Pelodiscus sinensis: one gene and its partner. The protein of the gene in region 1 interacts with the protein of each later gene in a biochemical or structural test. Links are inferred from orthologs where the notes say so. Each region holds a gene or a part of one and is shown in the gene's direction. Other genes may lie near its edges.

Region 1 (8,016 bases):
CCAAACAGTGATTTATATTTTATTAGACGTCATTAGTTAGTAGGAGTGATCTGTCTTAAATGAAAAAGATTTGGTTAATCTATTCTGACTTTAAGTAGTGGTGTGCAAGCTTGACAACATTCTGATCTTACCTGTAATGTGATTTCACCCTGCTGCACTTACTGTTGCTGAAAGTGTAACTTCCTTTCTTATTTTAAGTGTTGAATGGGTCCTTGTCACAGGAAGAAGAGTGATCATTGCTATTGGAGTTCTAGTAAAAGATTTTAGATCTTCTTGGTTTTGGGATGATAGGCAGAGATTAGATAGGAGTATTTTTATGCTAGAAGGCAATAATGGGTGTTCATGAACCAATAATTTAATCTGGGTAGACAATCATAGGAATACCTGGAAATGTGATTGAGCTAAAGAACCGGCAGAGACTTCATAGGTCTCCCATTTTCCATGCTTTGGTTTTCCAATTTTCTCCCAAATCAAAATCTTTATGGTCAGTGGTGACTAGAGCATTCCCTGCAAACATGGAATTGATCAGATGTGGCACTGATAAGTTATTGCATTAGATAGATAAATACAAATACACTCAATTCAACAACATTTCTGTCAGGCGTTCAAGCAGTAATGTCCTTCCTGAATATACGATGAAAATGACTGGCTTAATTTTTGAAGAAGAGCATCCATTTTCAAACTCACGGGCCTTTTCTCATGTATTGATTTAGCATATATTTGAGTTATCCTTGCAGTGTTGCAATCTCATCAGATCCGTTTAAGTGTCTCAACTCAAAGATAGATATATTTAGACTTGGATAGTAGCAGATATAATTGACTTTTCCAGTAGTTGTGTGGAGGCAAAAACCCCAAAGAAACATGACTGGAAATGACCATTCAAATTACTGATCCACTGAAAAGAACTGAACATGAGTCACATACATATTTGGGTGGCAGATATATTGTTCAGTTAATATTTCACCATTTAAAAAGGGGGTTGTATCTCCAGATACAAAGTATATGTGTTCAAATAGGCATAAATTCCATCAGAGTGCATGTTCTTATGTATTTATCAAATCACAATTTATTTACTCTTTCTAGAGTAACTCTATGGCTGTGTCTAGACTGGCAAGTTTTAACGCAAAAGCAGCTGCTTTTGAGGAAAAACTTGCCAGCTGTCTACATTGGCTGCTTGAATTTCTGCAAGAACACTGACTTCCTACTGTCTGAAATCAGTGCTTCTTGTGGAAATACTATGCTGCTCCCATTCGGGCAAAAGTCGGTCAGTGTAGACAGTTCAGATTTGTTTTGCGCAAAAAAGCCCCGATCGCAAAAATGATGATCAGGGCTTTTTTGCGCAAAAACGCATCTAGATTGGCACAGACGCTTTTCCGCAAAAAGTGCTTTTGCGGAAAAGCGTCCATGCCAATCTAGATGCTCTTTTCCACAAATGCTTTTAACAGAAAACTTTTCCGTTAAAAGCATTTGCGGAAAATCATGCCAGTCTAGACATAGCCTATTAGTTTAGCACTTAATCTGCATAAAGTTGCATTATGTTGGTTGATGCCTAGGCTCACTGAATGTTATTGCAGTTAATATTTATAAAAAGTGATAGAAGAGTTATTGTTCACACTATTTGTTTGCATCAGGTCCAAATTTACAGCTGGAGAGCTTTCAACAATAAAAATTAGAAATTAAATAATCCTGCGTCAAGAGCAGCCTAATTGCAAGAAAAGTCAAGTAAAACATCAACAAGGAAATCATTTTTAATATTTTCCCAACTACCCTTCCCTTCAGCTGAAGCAAAATGCAAGACAATGTAGCACTTTAAAGACTAACAAGATGGTTTATTAGATGATGAGCTTTCGTGGGCCAGACCCACTTCCTCAGATCTATCACTTCCCTTCAACTGTGTGGCATTACTGCTAGAAAAGGGAATGCACACCGCGTGCTGCTAACTTTTCAATAAAATTCAAACTCCCAAAAGCCTTTTAGACCGTCACCCCAAACCCTGAGAAAAGTGTCCATTTATTTCAGCTGTTTAAGAGGTGAGTTTTTTCTCGTCTCTATAGCGCCACTTAGTGTCAGTGGGATGAAATTAGTCCTCTAAATATGGCCTGGTCCTACTTATTGAAAGCCTGCTCAGAGATCTTATCTGCCAGCCTAACCGCCCCCCGCAAGGGAAAATCAAGAGGATCACCACCACACTAAGCCAGCGCAGGACTAAGGAGTTTGCAATGCACTGATCTCTGGATGCCTGTATAAATAAGATGTTTGCTTTGGTCCCTCGTGGTTTAAATGTCTCTCCCGTACACTGCCCTTGGCTGAGCGTCTCGAGGATGGGGATGCGCTATGCTATGGGTTGCGAGCAGGGAGCAAAGGGGCTGGACAGGCCGAGAAAGGGAGCGAGATGCGGCTCCAAACCTCCTCGCTCTGACTGACACCCAGCGGGAAGCGGCGCTTGAAATCATCCAGCGGGGCCGCCCAGCTGCGTGGTCGGGGCGAGCGGCAGCCTATCCCTGAACGCGTTTGAAGCCCCGCCCCCGCCCTACGAGCCCCCGCGGCTGCTCCGGCAGCTGGGCTAGGATGCAGCTGGGGGGTGGAGGGTTCTCCAGTCCCGCGGGTTCCCTTTGCCCGGGTGCAGCCGACGTCTCTGGGTGCAAGCAGCGGCTTCCTTCCCCGGCCGAGCAGAATTAATTCGCCAAGCCCCCTCTCCCCACGTTACACGCCTCCACGTGTGGGGTGTGTGAGTCCCTCCCCAGTAAGCTCGCTCTCATTCTCTGCGAGCACCGGCGAGCTTTCCTCGCAAGGCAGGCGAGGCGAGCAATCAACAAACTACAGGGGGACCGAGTCTTTAAAGAGGTGGCGTCTCCCAAAATATCCAACATTCCGCACGCGTGCCGAGCCTTTCCCAGCACCCACGCGGCTTCTGTTCTCACTAAGATCACTGCTTCGGCCAGGCAGGCGTGAGCGTCTGCCCCCTGCCGCCTCCCCTTCTGCCTGTAACTTCCCAAGGGTCCGTGCACTTCGACTGCCCTCGGCCGGCTAGGACTCCTCCAGCAATCGATTGGAAGGGGAGGAAAAGGCAGGCGTCCTGGGAACTGCAAGCACATAAGCTAGGTCACTGATTTGTTCTCACTGCGACTGAGCCCTTAAAGGAGCTCTCGGGAAAGGCAGGATTCGCTAGAGCCTGCCCCCCCCCTTTTCCCTCTTGTCCTTCCAACACTTCCACATAAAACAGGGACGAATCTAGTGTCTCCTGCTTCACACCCACCCAGCTCTCTGAGGCATCTCGGCACAACCTGCAAAATCTCAGCTCCACCACTTGGATCTTGTGAGATCCAGCAAACATTTTTGCCCCCAGTATTTCTACCCAGGGCTGGATTAAGACCTTTAGAGGCCCTAAGCACTGAAAAGATTATGATGTTCCCCCATAAGTAATTTAAAATTAAAAATAATACTATACTGTAAAATCTCATTTTTTGGTGCCCCCTGCTTAGCTGGTGCCCTAAGCATGTGCTTAGTCTGCCTATTGGTAATCCACTTCTGTTTCTACCCCATAAACTGGAAAGAGTGGAGGTACACTTCTTGGGCCACAGGGCAGAGCAGTGAAAGGATCCTGCCATGCCCTCCCAAGGTAAACCAAGGGTGGAGAATCCAAGACCCAGGCTGGATGTGGCCTTCTGCTTGCCTGGATCTGGCCCCTGAGTCTTGGGGCTCCCCCCAGTATTGGGGAACCTGTGCTGGTGCTCCAGCTCCATAGCTAGAGCACAGAAAATCTACTAGCTTGCCCTCCCCCCCCAGGCTTTGGTGTGCAAGAGGAATGTGGGGAGCCTCTTTGTCTTTCTCAGTTGGGTGCCATGTCATTGAGGGTTTTTTGTTTCTCAATTTGTGAAAAATCCAGACATTTTTGTGTGGGTCTGCAACCCCCCAACCCAAAAAAGGTTTCCCACCCCTGTAAACACAATTAGCTGCTCTTGTTGCAGGGACAGAACTGAGAAGCAACACTGCATACAAAACCTGGACCTTGTCAAATGTTGGCCAGGGACCTTAAAATACAGAACAAGCTTGATCTACTATTCTGCCACGCCCCTCCCCCACTCCCCAAAAACAAATGTTTCTTCCCAGTCCCCAGCCAATTCTGGTAGAACGCTGTAAAAACTCTGCTTTGGCACCACTTTGCTTCTGGCTGCATCACCGCTTAAATTTTAGCACATGTGCAGAATCCAGGGCCAAATTTATCATGATTCACCAACATTGCCCCTTCTTCCCTATGCCCGCCTCACAATTACATAGAAAGTTGAAAACATCAGTTTAACCTGTGAAACTGCAACTAGTTAGGAGTATGCATTTTAAATATGTTAGCAACAAAAGCTGGAGGCAACCCTCAGATCTGAGATGTTCCATAAATGATCAGCCATGCAAATGATAAAATATGGATCTTTGTTTATCTCTTTACGGTAGCAATCAGGGCGTTATTTCCTTAGCAGATGGAGCCACAACAAAATCAAAGTACCAGAGCCCAAATTAGAAAATAGTCAAGGGCTTGTAGATTATGTAATCTAATTGACAAGGGACTGGTTGAGGACTGTAACAGTTCGTTTAATATTAAAAAGCCCCTGTAGCTTTAACTGTATCTGTTTTAAAAAGCCATGCATAACTTTTACTGAATATAGAAGATAATGTATTCCCATCTGCCAAGCAGTGCATTGCATTTCATGACGTACAGTAAGACAGAGAAGAAGGTAAAATAGAGCACGCACGCCTAAATTAGCCATTTCTAGCAGGCTATAGGTACCCAATGAGAACATTTGCCGTTACAAATTTTGCTGGGTCCGGATTGTTGAGGCAACAGTAGAAGCATCGCCTTTAACTCTGATTTTAGGTGCATGTTCTGCGTGTTTGGTGAAACTTTGGCATGCTCCCAGGTGTGTGTGTGTGGGGGGGGGGTCTAAGTTTGGGTGGTAGTTTGGCTCTGGGGCACATCCGTGTGGATTTTAAAGATACAACAGGGAGACGCTAAATGGCGTTCTCTGTATGGACAAAATATGGAGGTTCAAGGAGGAAAATTTAACAGTGCTATCTGATATTTCACTTCCCCATCAAGGTTTTTTTGGGTGCTCTGGGAAGCCCTGCTGCAGATTTTGGGTGGGCCAAAGGAGGAAGGAGTAGAACAATAGGAGAAGCTACATTTATTCTCTGCTGCGGTGGCAAAATGTGGGCTTGTTCTCTGTACATGAAGGTTTTAGGGGGCGAGAGCCCGCGGATCGGGGTGGGGGGGGGGGGCGAGTCTCTCGGGCTCTAGGGGCAGGTTGCGAGTTCTTGTGGCGCTGTTGCACTGAGCGCGCCCCGGCCCCAAGGCTGTTTTGAAATAGCAGCGCTGGCTGGATTTGGACCTCGCGCAGGCAGCGGAATGTGAGCGTCCCGGGCCCCACAGGGACAAGGATTGGTGGGCTCCGCTACCCCCCTCCAGCGCCTCAGCTTTTCCCCTTTAAAGCGCTCTCCCCGCAGCCTCAACTTCTCCCCGTCACGTGTGATTTCCTTTCGGGGGCCCGGCGGGGAGCCAGAAGCCGCCTGGCGGAGCCGGCTCGGATGTTAGCCCGGCGCTCGCTCCCCAGGGAGGATCCGGATTGAGCCCGGCTTCCCCTCCCGGGGCTCACCCGCTGCACTTGGCGGGGGCGCGGTAAGTTTCCTGCCTCCCGCCTGGAGCCCGCCCAAGCGCCATCTCTCCCCCTGTCTGCCTGGGGCTCGGCTGTGCACGGAGGGACTTGGGTTTCTCCCGCGCTCCAGCGGCGGAGGACGCCCGGCAGCTCCAGCCCCCGCACGGCGGATCTTTCCTCCCCCGCCGCGCGCGGGAAGCGAGTTGGTGGCAGCTGGCGGGGGCTCCCGGTGGCTCGGATCCCCCCCCCCCCCTCTCCCTCCGCAGGGATGGGCAGCGCCTCAGGACTCCGCAGGCAGCGGGACCCAGCGCTGCCGCTGCAGGTGCCCATCCACCGGCTCGCCTCGCTCTGCTGCTGAAAGGGCGGCGCTCCCTCCTCTCTCGCTCCCCCTCCCCTCCGAGTTATTTATTTTATTGTTTGGGGTGGCCGGAAAGTAACCCCCCGCCCCTGCCACTGCAAGCGGGGTCGGTGGCGTCATTCCGCTCCGGAGTTGGAGCGCTCACCAGCCACTTCCACCCGATTCCCCCCCCCCCCCCTCTGAAAACACAAATAAGAGTGTAACTTCCCGGAGGCTGCGGTTTAAATCATGGCCCCTGCGATCCGGGCCAAGGGGAGAGAGATGCCTGGTGACGCTAAATAAGCCGCGGAGATGTCCCCGAGTGGGTTGGAAATACTTTGGCCATAGCGCGGAGAGGAGATCCGAGGAGGACCAGCTCTGCCACGTTTGGGCCACCGAGAGAGCAGCTCGCCTGACCTAGCACATTGGCAAGTAAGTCACCGGCTCCCATCCTTGATTTCCTTGATCGTACAGGTCTCGCCGCCGAGGCTTTGCAGCTGGTGGTTTGGAAGTCCTGGGCTGGGGGGTAGGGCGGGTAGCGGAGTCACCTGAGGGTTTCGATCTCCTCCAGGGCTCCTCATGTGAGACATGTGCGACAGAGTGGGCTCTGTTGCAAGCCAGCCTGGGTCCCTCTCTGTGAAAGTGCCTGGTAAACACCTCCTTTACAGCAGCTGCCCAAGAATAGGGGTAAAGGACTAGCCTGGTGACCACTTCTGCAGCTACAGCCCCTGGGAATGATGCCGTGTATGTTTATTAGCATCCCAGCTATCTTTTTCTCTGTGTTTGCATGTCCCTCAATAGTGGGAGTCTTTTACTAGAGTGCATTTTAGCCACCGCTCTTGTAGGATAGCCCGGTGTGTATCTGAGGCATTTATGCAATGCACTACAGTGCTTGAATTTGATCTGCATATCTCTTAACTTTTACCATGCCATTTGGTAATTGTTTTTTTTCTGATGCTCCTTCTCTTGTGGGTTTTGTTTTCCTGGCTTTTTTTGAAAAAATATGAAGTTATGTACATCTATGGATCTTCCTGGTGATTGACATTAATCAGAAAACAAAAGTTGGGTCCAGCATGGTTTCAGTTTAACAGGGCATACAGAAAAGGTGTAGTAAGCAAGCTGTCCAGTCCTGCTCCGCTGAAAGTCCACACTAAAACTCTACTTAGGAGGGAGCAGGGACAAGCCCAGGAGACTATAATCTCTTCCTAAAAATTCAGTTGAAGATAGTTTGCTCAGAACTAAGCTGTCACACTGCAAAATGCCAGATTTCCTGCTCACCTTTCAGCACAGCTAGTGCATAAGTTAGCTGACCTGCCTCATGGTATCTACCTGCCACCCATCACTGAAATTCAGGAGATGAAGATGTGATTTCACATTGAAAGGCAAACAACAAACTTCAAAGCTTATTTAATTATGTTTATGTTTATTGATTTTTCTTAGCACCTTCTCTACAAGACTGAAAACTATAATCTTATAGTGACCTTGATGAGCATCCTGCTTCAGCATGAGGTTTCACAGGGAGAAAAAAATTACACTGATTTACAGCCAAGCATTGACATTTTGCTTAGAACATGATCAGTTCCAGTGAGCATATGACTTTCAATAGTGGTAGTGGGGATAAAAGGGTGGAGCTAAGGATGTGTATTCATTTACAGCAATGAACTTGCTTGACAGTTACAACATAAATAATTCTATGTACCTGCTGCAAGTAATGTAGAGGGATTTCCTTCTATAGAAAAGTAAATGGGTATGAAATAATTGTTGATTTTTATTTGACTTTATTTTCTAAACAGAAGTCTCCAGTAAATGGAGACCAATACAAAAAAAAAAAATCCCAAATCTTTCCAGATTAATTCACTTTGATTTGTCAGCACTTGTCAACTCTGAGGGTTTAGAAGGAAGATCCTTTTATATACAGCTGCCTACACTTTTCTCATTTGAGCAACATTATCATAATAGGATAAAAAGGTGCTTATATGTTGAACACATGACTAAAGCACCAGTTATAGCAAAAGGATGAAATAAGCCTTTTCCTTG
Region 2 (6,867 bases), on another chromosome or scaffold:
AACAAAGAGGTATTTACATGCAAGGATTGAGTTTAAACGCATTCCATTTTTAGAGATGACACTGCTCTAAGCTAGGAAAAGCTTTTCTTTATTACTACTTTGGACCACATTAAATATTTCAGTAGAAATGGTTGTGTTTAGAGTGGAAGCAGATTATCATTAAAACTAGTTAATATCATTATTGGAAATTGTTACTGGCAACTGGTGTGGTCAGTCAATGGCAATCTTTTCATTGACTGAAATGTCCTTTAGATCAGACCTGAAGTGAATCTTTGATCGTTTCTCTGACCCTGGCTCCTGAAAATTCTCTGCTTCAGTTCCCCATCTAGAAAATTAGGTCAATAAGATTTACTGCATTTTTTGTTATGTGATAGGGGTATACCCTTTTGTAACTCTGATTTTTATCAGGTGACCTTTTTATCATGTGTCTTGGTGAATGAAGATGAATGGATGTTTTATATCATGCAATATTTCAAAGATAAATAGTGTTATATTAATATTAAATTATACAAGTGTTGTTTGTTGGCAAATACATGGTAAAATAACCTGTGGTGAGATCTCACATTATTGAAATATTTCTTAATTCTATCCATCCATATGAATTAATATGGTGAGGCAAGGACGTCTCCAGGAAACTAGTAGTTTTGCAGTTTTTTAGACTGTAAAGCTTTTGTAGTGGGTATTGTCATTTACTATATATTTGAACAGTGCCTGTCATAATGGAGACTCAACCTAGTTGAGGCCTCTAGGTCATCTGGCAATTAAAATGTTAATTATAACAGGAATAAGGAAAGGTGTCTGCCATACAGTGATCCCAACTCTCCTGATTTTATCTTGAGTTTTGTAATAGTATGTGTTTTTCTGAAAGTCCTAGCTCTTGGAATCAGGTAATTATATAACCATCTCAGGTTTCATTTTTAAAAAAAGTTTATAGTCATCATGGAGTACTGCAGAAAGAGATCTAGGGTCATAGTGGACTACAAACTAAATTTGAGTCAACAGTGTGATGCTGTTGCAAAAAAAGCAAACATGATTCTGGGATGCATTTACAGGAGTGTTGTGAGCAAGACACAAGAAGTCATTCTTCTGCTCTACTCTGCGCTAATTAGGCCTCAGCTGTAGTATTGTGTCCAGTTCTGGGCACCATTTTTCAAGAAAGATGTGGAGAAATTGGAAAAGGTCCAGAGAAGAGCAACAAGAATGACTAAAGGTCTAGAGGACATAAGCTTTGAGAGAAGACTGAAAAAATTGGGCTTGTCTAGTTTAAAAAAGAGAAGACTGAGAGAGGACATGGTAGTGGTTTTCAAGTACCTAAAAGAAAGTTACAAGGAGGAGGAAGAAAAATTGTTCTCCTTGGCCTCTGAGGATAGGACAAGAAACAATGGGCTTAAACTGCAGCAAGGGAGGTTTAGGCTGGATATTAGGAAAAACTTCCTAACTGTCAGGGTGGTGAAATAAATTGCTTAGGGAGGTTGTGGAATCTCTATCTCTGGAGATATGTAAGAGCAGGATAGACAGACATCTATCGGAGATTGTCTACTCTACACGGTGCTTGGTCCTGCCGTGAGGGCAGGGGACTGGACTCGATGACCTCTCGAGGTCCCTTCCAGTTCTAGTGTTCTATGATTCTATGGTTGCCAATGTTATCACATGCCCATAAATGAGAAGAAAAATAAAGAACTTTAAATATCTGTAAAATTTCATGACTTTTAAGACAATCTGATGATTTTGGTATGTGACTCATGATTAAACTCCTAAGTTTGGCAATATTGAACATTGTACAATCATTCAATACCAGTAACATGGCTGCTGTGTCTTCACACGGATGGTCACCATGATTCCAGTGTTAGTATCCAGTAATTTTTTTTTATGCTGCAGCAGGAGACAAATTGTGACTTTATGGATGAGAAGAAGTCACTCACCAGGATTCTCACTGTATGATGTATGCAGCAAGTATTTATTCTATAACGGTTCATAAGAAAATTGACTAGATTCAGGGGCTGTCTACTGCAAATTTACAATCTTTCTAATAGCAGCCCATCATGCATCTATGGGACTATCAGTGGATTAGAGTAATGAGTCACCACTTAATCATTTAAGATGCAGCATTTTGTAGAAATACCAAATGTAGGGTGACCATAATTCCCAAAGGGATGATGGGGCAGTGCATGGGACTATGAGGGGGCACCATAGCTACTGGCTCAAGGTGCCACCCCAGACTGCCACTGGTCACTTGAATCCTGCTGGTCCCCCCACCCATGCCTATAGCTGGTCACTTGAAACCTACAGGCCTGCCATACACTAGAACCCTTTCTTTCTCCCCCTCCCTCCCACTCCAGCTGAGCCTCTCCCCTGCATGGGGTTGGCATCCCCACTTTTCCGCCATATGTTACTCGGTACCACATCCCACTTTTTTGACAAAAGTGGGCATTTATCCAGTTTGCTCTTGCTCTTTACTTTTGCCAACTGATCTAGTTAACAAGAGCAAACAGGACAAATGCTCACTTTTGCTAAATAGTCGGGACGGCTGTGATAAATCTTAAAAAAGGGACTATCCCAGCCAAAATGGAACTTAGGGCCACCGTAACCAAGTTACATTCTTTCATTTGGGAGTTTTACTGTTACTGATAAAAATAAGTTTTCCTTTTTAAGTACTGTATATATATCCTCTAAATGACAGAAAACATCAACGATCTAATTATTGTGCATTAATATCTCAGTTGTACAGAACTTTACAATGTCAAAGCACTTTCTAATTTGTAATCTCAGACAACAGGGATGATGGGTTAGCATACTATGATTCCAAATGATCCATTTGATAGGTGTGGCTCCAGAGATGACAAGTATCAGGAGGTTGCAATGTTCCCTCTAATTTTTTTCCATCCATGTGTGGAATAAATCATGTTATGTGTATTGAGGCATGTGCAATGTGCACCACCAGTAAAAACACATGCTGTCTGTTGTGGGCACTCTGGTAAATAGCTGAGCGGCATTTGAATCTCTTCGGGGCAGCTGCCCAGGGACCTAGTTTACAGGGAATATTGCAATACCCAAATCTGAGGAATGGTCCTACACAAAAGTTGCTTCCCAGCATGCAAAGCTCTTTGGTTATTCACCTTAGAGATAAGGCCTTTTGCAGCTTTTGGTTTGTTTGTTTGTGTTTCTCTATACATATAAAACGGTTAAAAAGGAGAGTCTGCCACTACAGTATTCCTTTCCCTTCCAGGACAAAGTGAAGCCCTGTGGAGCCAATAGTTCTCACTATGCAAGGTGGCCCTATCAGGAAAGTAGATCCATTCTATTGTCAACGTTCATGATTTTGTTTATGTGAGAATATCAGTTTTCATGTAACCTAGTAATTTTCTGCCTGGGAATTGTGAATAAAAGATAGCAAACAGGAACCTGAACAACTCGAAAAACTCAAGGCAAATTACTTCCCCCTCTAATTTACTATTTTTGGAATCTCCAGGTTTAAATTAGGGCCCATTCATTATTCTGGAGCCCAGCTGGTGACTTTTAGACACTAGGAATTGCCCCCACTGCCAAGCATGCCTCGCTGTGTTATCACCGCACAGGCGCCTTAGCCCTGTGGTTCAACCCGGCGCGACTTCGAGTGCCAAAATGCAACGTTCCACTCTCCTCTCAATGGCTAAGGCCCATCGGATTGCCCCTGTAGAGACTACATGTCCCAGGACGCCTTGCGGCTGCGGTCCAGCCCCGCCCGCCTTGCCGTCTGTGTGTTTTTATGCGGTCTGATTGGAGTCGCTGAGCCCATGGGGTGTGAGCGCATGCGCAGTGATTGAGCTTCGGTTCTCCCGTAGCTGTCGCTTGTGAGGGAAACGAATAAAGTTTCTCCATTAAAAAAAAAAAAAAAAAAAAAAAAAAAAGGCCGCGGTGCTGGGCCGCTGCGGGCTGCGCTCTGCGCCGAGTGGGCGGCGGCTCTGGGAGGGGGGCCGCGCTCTGGGCTGCCACCGCTTCCCTCTCCTGACTGGGCTCCCCCCGGACTCCAGTGAGTAGCAGCCGCCCGGGAGGGACTCGGCCTTCCCCCCAGAGCGCGGGAAGGGGCCCTGTGCGGGGATGGGGGTAGGGCCCGGCGGCGGGGGGAGCTGGGGAGGGGCGCACAGAGGGCTGAGGGGGCGGGGGATGCGGCAGGGGTGCCTGGGCGGGTAGGGAACGGGCGCGGGAGCAGCATATGTCTGTGCGTGGAGGGGTGTGAGGGGGCGGGGTGGGTGGGTGGGTGGGAGAGGTAGGGGGTGTCTGAGGGAGTGGTCTGAGGCTGTGGGGTGTGTGTTGCAGAGTGTAGCGAGGAGGGTGTTGAAACAGGAGCAGAGTGAGGGTGGCGTGGAGACATCCAGGGCCAGGGGACACCTGTGTGCGACTTGAGGAAACTTATTTTCATTACTGGGTAAAATACCTTATTTTGCTATTAAGACTTGTGAAGAAAGGGACTGCTTTCCAGTCAGACCCTTTCGTTTAGTTTTGCCGTATGAGAAGTGCTTCACCCTGACTCTGCGAGCACTGCTTTTTGGTGAGGGTTTGTGAAGTGACTCTACCCTGAGGGAAATTATGTGTTTATGGTATAATTAAGCTGGTAAGCATTTGAGACTCTGTAACATCTCCAGCGATAAGAGGCTGATCTCATTGCCAGTATTTTTTTCCTTTGCAATGCCTGTCTTCTGAGCATGACATGAACTCTGATGTTATCTGCTTTGAAGCACACTGTCTCTCTCTCTCTGTGTGTGTGTGTGTGTGTGTGTGTGTGTGTGTGTTGGAATTAACTCATGCAGCTTTTCAGAATTTTGCATATATGTATTACGTTTGCATTTGACATTGACATCTCAAACTGTGTTTTAAAGATCAGATCACAATTGTGGTTATGACTCATTGACTTTCTAGTTTGGTTTAGCTTTGAAAGGGTTGGCTTTCACATGGGCCTGTCTTACTCTAGAAAAACCTTTTCTTTAGTAGGTAGACTGGCAAGAAAATTCTGTGGTTCTGACATGATATTCTGACTTGATTGGAATCTAGGCTGATTTAGCTAAGCAAAATGTCTGTGGGTGGATAATGGGTTTACCTACCTGATGGACTGCAGGTGAACTATGGGATCTGACTTTATTACTAGTTAAGTTAACAAGCATATCGCTTTCATTTTGTTGGAATTTTACAATGTTGTTAAGTAGTTAGAATAAGAAATCATATACGACAGCCTAAAGATCATAGAATCATAGGACTGGAAGGGACCTCGAGAGGTCATCGAGTCCAGCCCCCCCGCCCTCAAGGCAGGACCAAGCTCCGTCTACACCATCCCTGACAGATGTCTATCTAACCTGTTCTTAAATATCTCCAGAGAGGGAGATTCCACCACCTCCCTTGGCAATTTATTCCAATATTTGACCACCCTGACAGTTAGGAATTTTTTCCTAATGTCCAATCTAAACCTCCCCTGCTTCACTTTAAGCCCATTACTCCTTGTCCTGTCCTCAGTAACCAAGAGGAACACATTTTCTCCTTCCTCCTTGTGACACCCTTTTAGATATTTGAAAACCGCTATCATGTCCCCCCTTAATCTTCTTTTTTCCAGACTAAACAAGCCCAGTTCATGAAGCCTGGCTTCATAGGTCATGTTCTCTAAACCTTTAATCATTCTTGTCGCTCTTCTCTATACCCTTTCCAATTTCTCCACATCTTTCTTGAAATGTGGCGCCAAGAACTGGACACAGTACTCCAGCTGAGGCCTAACTAGTGCAGAGTAGAGCGGCAGAATGGCTTCACGAGTTTTGCTTACAACACAGTACAGAACTTTCCTAAAGGGCATGTATGTCATTTGAAATACTCACCTGTTGACATTTCTGGAAAGAAAATGTTATCCCATTGAAACTACTTTTTTCTTTCAAGGCTCCATCTATAAGAGAACTAAACCATGAAAGTCAAACTGTTTTAAACATCCTTATAATTGATCTTTATTGCTCTGACCATTTTAATGTAAAGTATTTAAACAAATACTATTCAGTTTCAAGTGCGTGGATGACATTTTAGTAGTTATTGCATTAATTAGAATTCGATCACACTATTGTGAAGAACTGTACAGTTATTTATCCAAAAGTGAAGTTAAGGTGCTTCAGAGAGGTAGCCGAGTTAGTCTGTAACAGGAAAAACTTAAAAAAAAAAAAAAATCCAACCAAATAGACTAGTAGCACCTTATAGACTAACAAAACATGTAGATGGTATCATGAGCTTTCGAGGGCAAAACCCACTTCAGATGACCGGCAAAAGCGTTAGTATAAGGTAAATCATTAATTTTGGCAACTTCTTTTTATTCATACTCAGTCCATGAGTACCTTTTATTTTAAATTAGAAGAGTTACCTGGTGTTGGTGGGGTCCAGCCAGGGGCAGGGCCTCTCAGGCCTCACACTGGCATTCCTGTTGCCTGGCCTGGTGGTGCAGTGGGGTCATGCAGGCCAGCCCTGGCGGCGCTTCCCGGGCCCAGCCCAGAGGATGTGGTTCCACACAGGCCAGCCAGGCACAGCTGTGCTGGATGGCCTGGTGGTGCTGGGGGTGGGTGGGTTGTGGTTCCTGCGGTGGGGAGGTGGGGCTGTGCTGTCCAGCTAAGCAGTAATCCCAAGGGGGTTCAGCAGTGGGAGGCAGGGGATGCCCTGTTGATATCTGGTTCTGTGGCCAAAGGCCAGAGGAATTAGTTTAGGGCAGGGGAGCCACTTCCCTGGGCTGGCGGCAGGTAAGATGGTGAGCCCTGTCCCCAGCTGGCCATCCCTTCCTGGTGCCCCCAGTGGTCACTGTGCAGCATTACTGTACAAGAAACAGGAGGAGGGCTGTTCTGCAAAGGGCCATCACTCAAAAAGTGCAGCCTT

What was found. The genes of interacting proteins can lie anywhere in the genome.
Region 2: the proteins of SNTG1 (region 1) and PLEKHA1 form a complex in vitro, tested with the Homo sapiens proteins (2 studies listed by BioGRID and IntAct, with this or other methods). The link is inferred for Pelodiscus sinensis from reciprocal best matches to the Homo sapiens genes SNTG1 and PLEKHA1.

What each region holds. Positions count from the first base shown.
Region 1 is NC_134712.1:68,483,139-68,491,154, reverse strand, and holds the start of SNTG1 (gamma-1-syntrophin), read left to right. Parts: upstream 1-5,003; 5' UTR 5,004-6,411; intron 6,412-8,016. UniProt on the Homo sapiens protein: Adapter protein that binds to and probably organizes the subcellular localization of a variety of proteins. May link various receptors to the actin cytoskeleton and the dystrophin glycoprotein complex.
Region 2 is NC_134718.1:56,475,507-56,482,373, reverse strand, and holds the start of PLEKHA1 (pleckstrin homology domain-containing family A member 1), read left to right. Parts: upstream 1-3,843; 5' UTR 3,844-4,009; exon of another isoform or gene 4,010-4,083; intron 4,084-4,296; 5' UTR 4,297-4,405; intron 4,406-6,867. UniProt on the Homo sapiens protein: Binds specifically to phosphatidylinositol 3,4-diphosphate (PtdIns3,4P2), but not to other phosphoinositides. May recruit other proteins to the plasma membrane.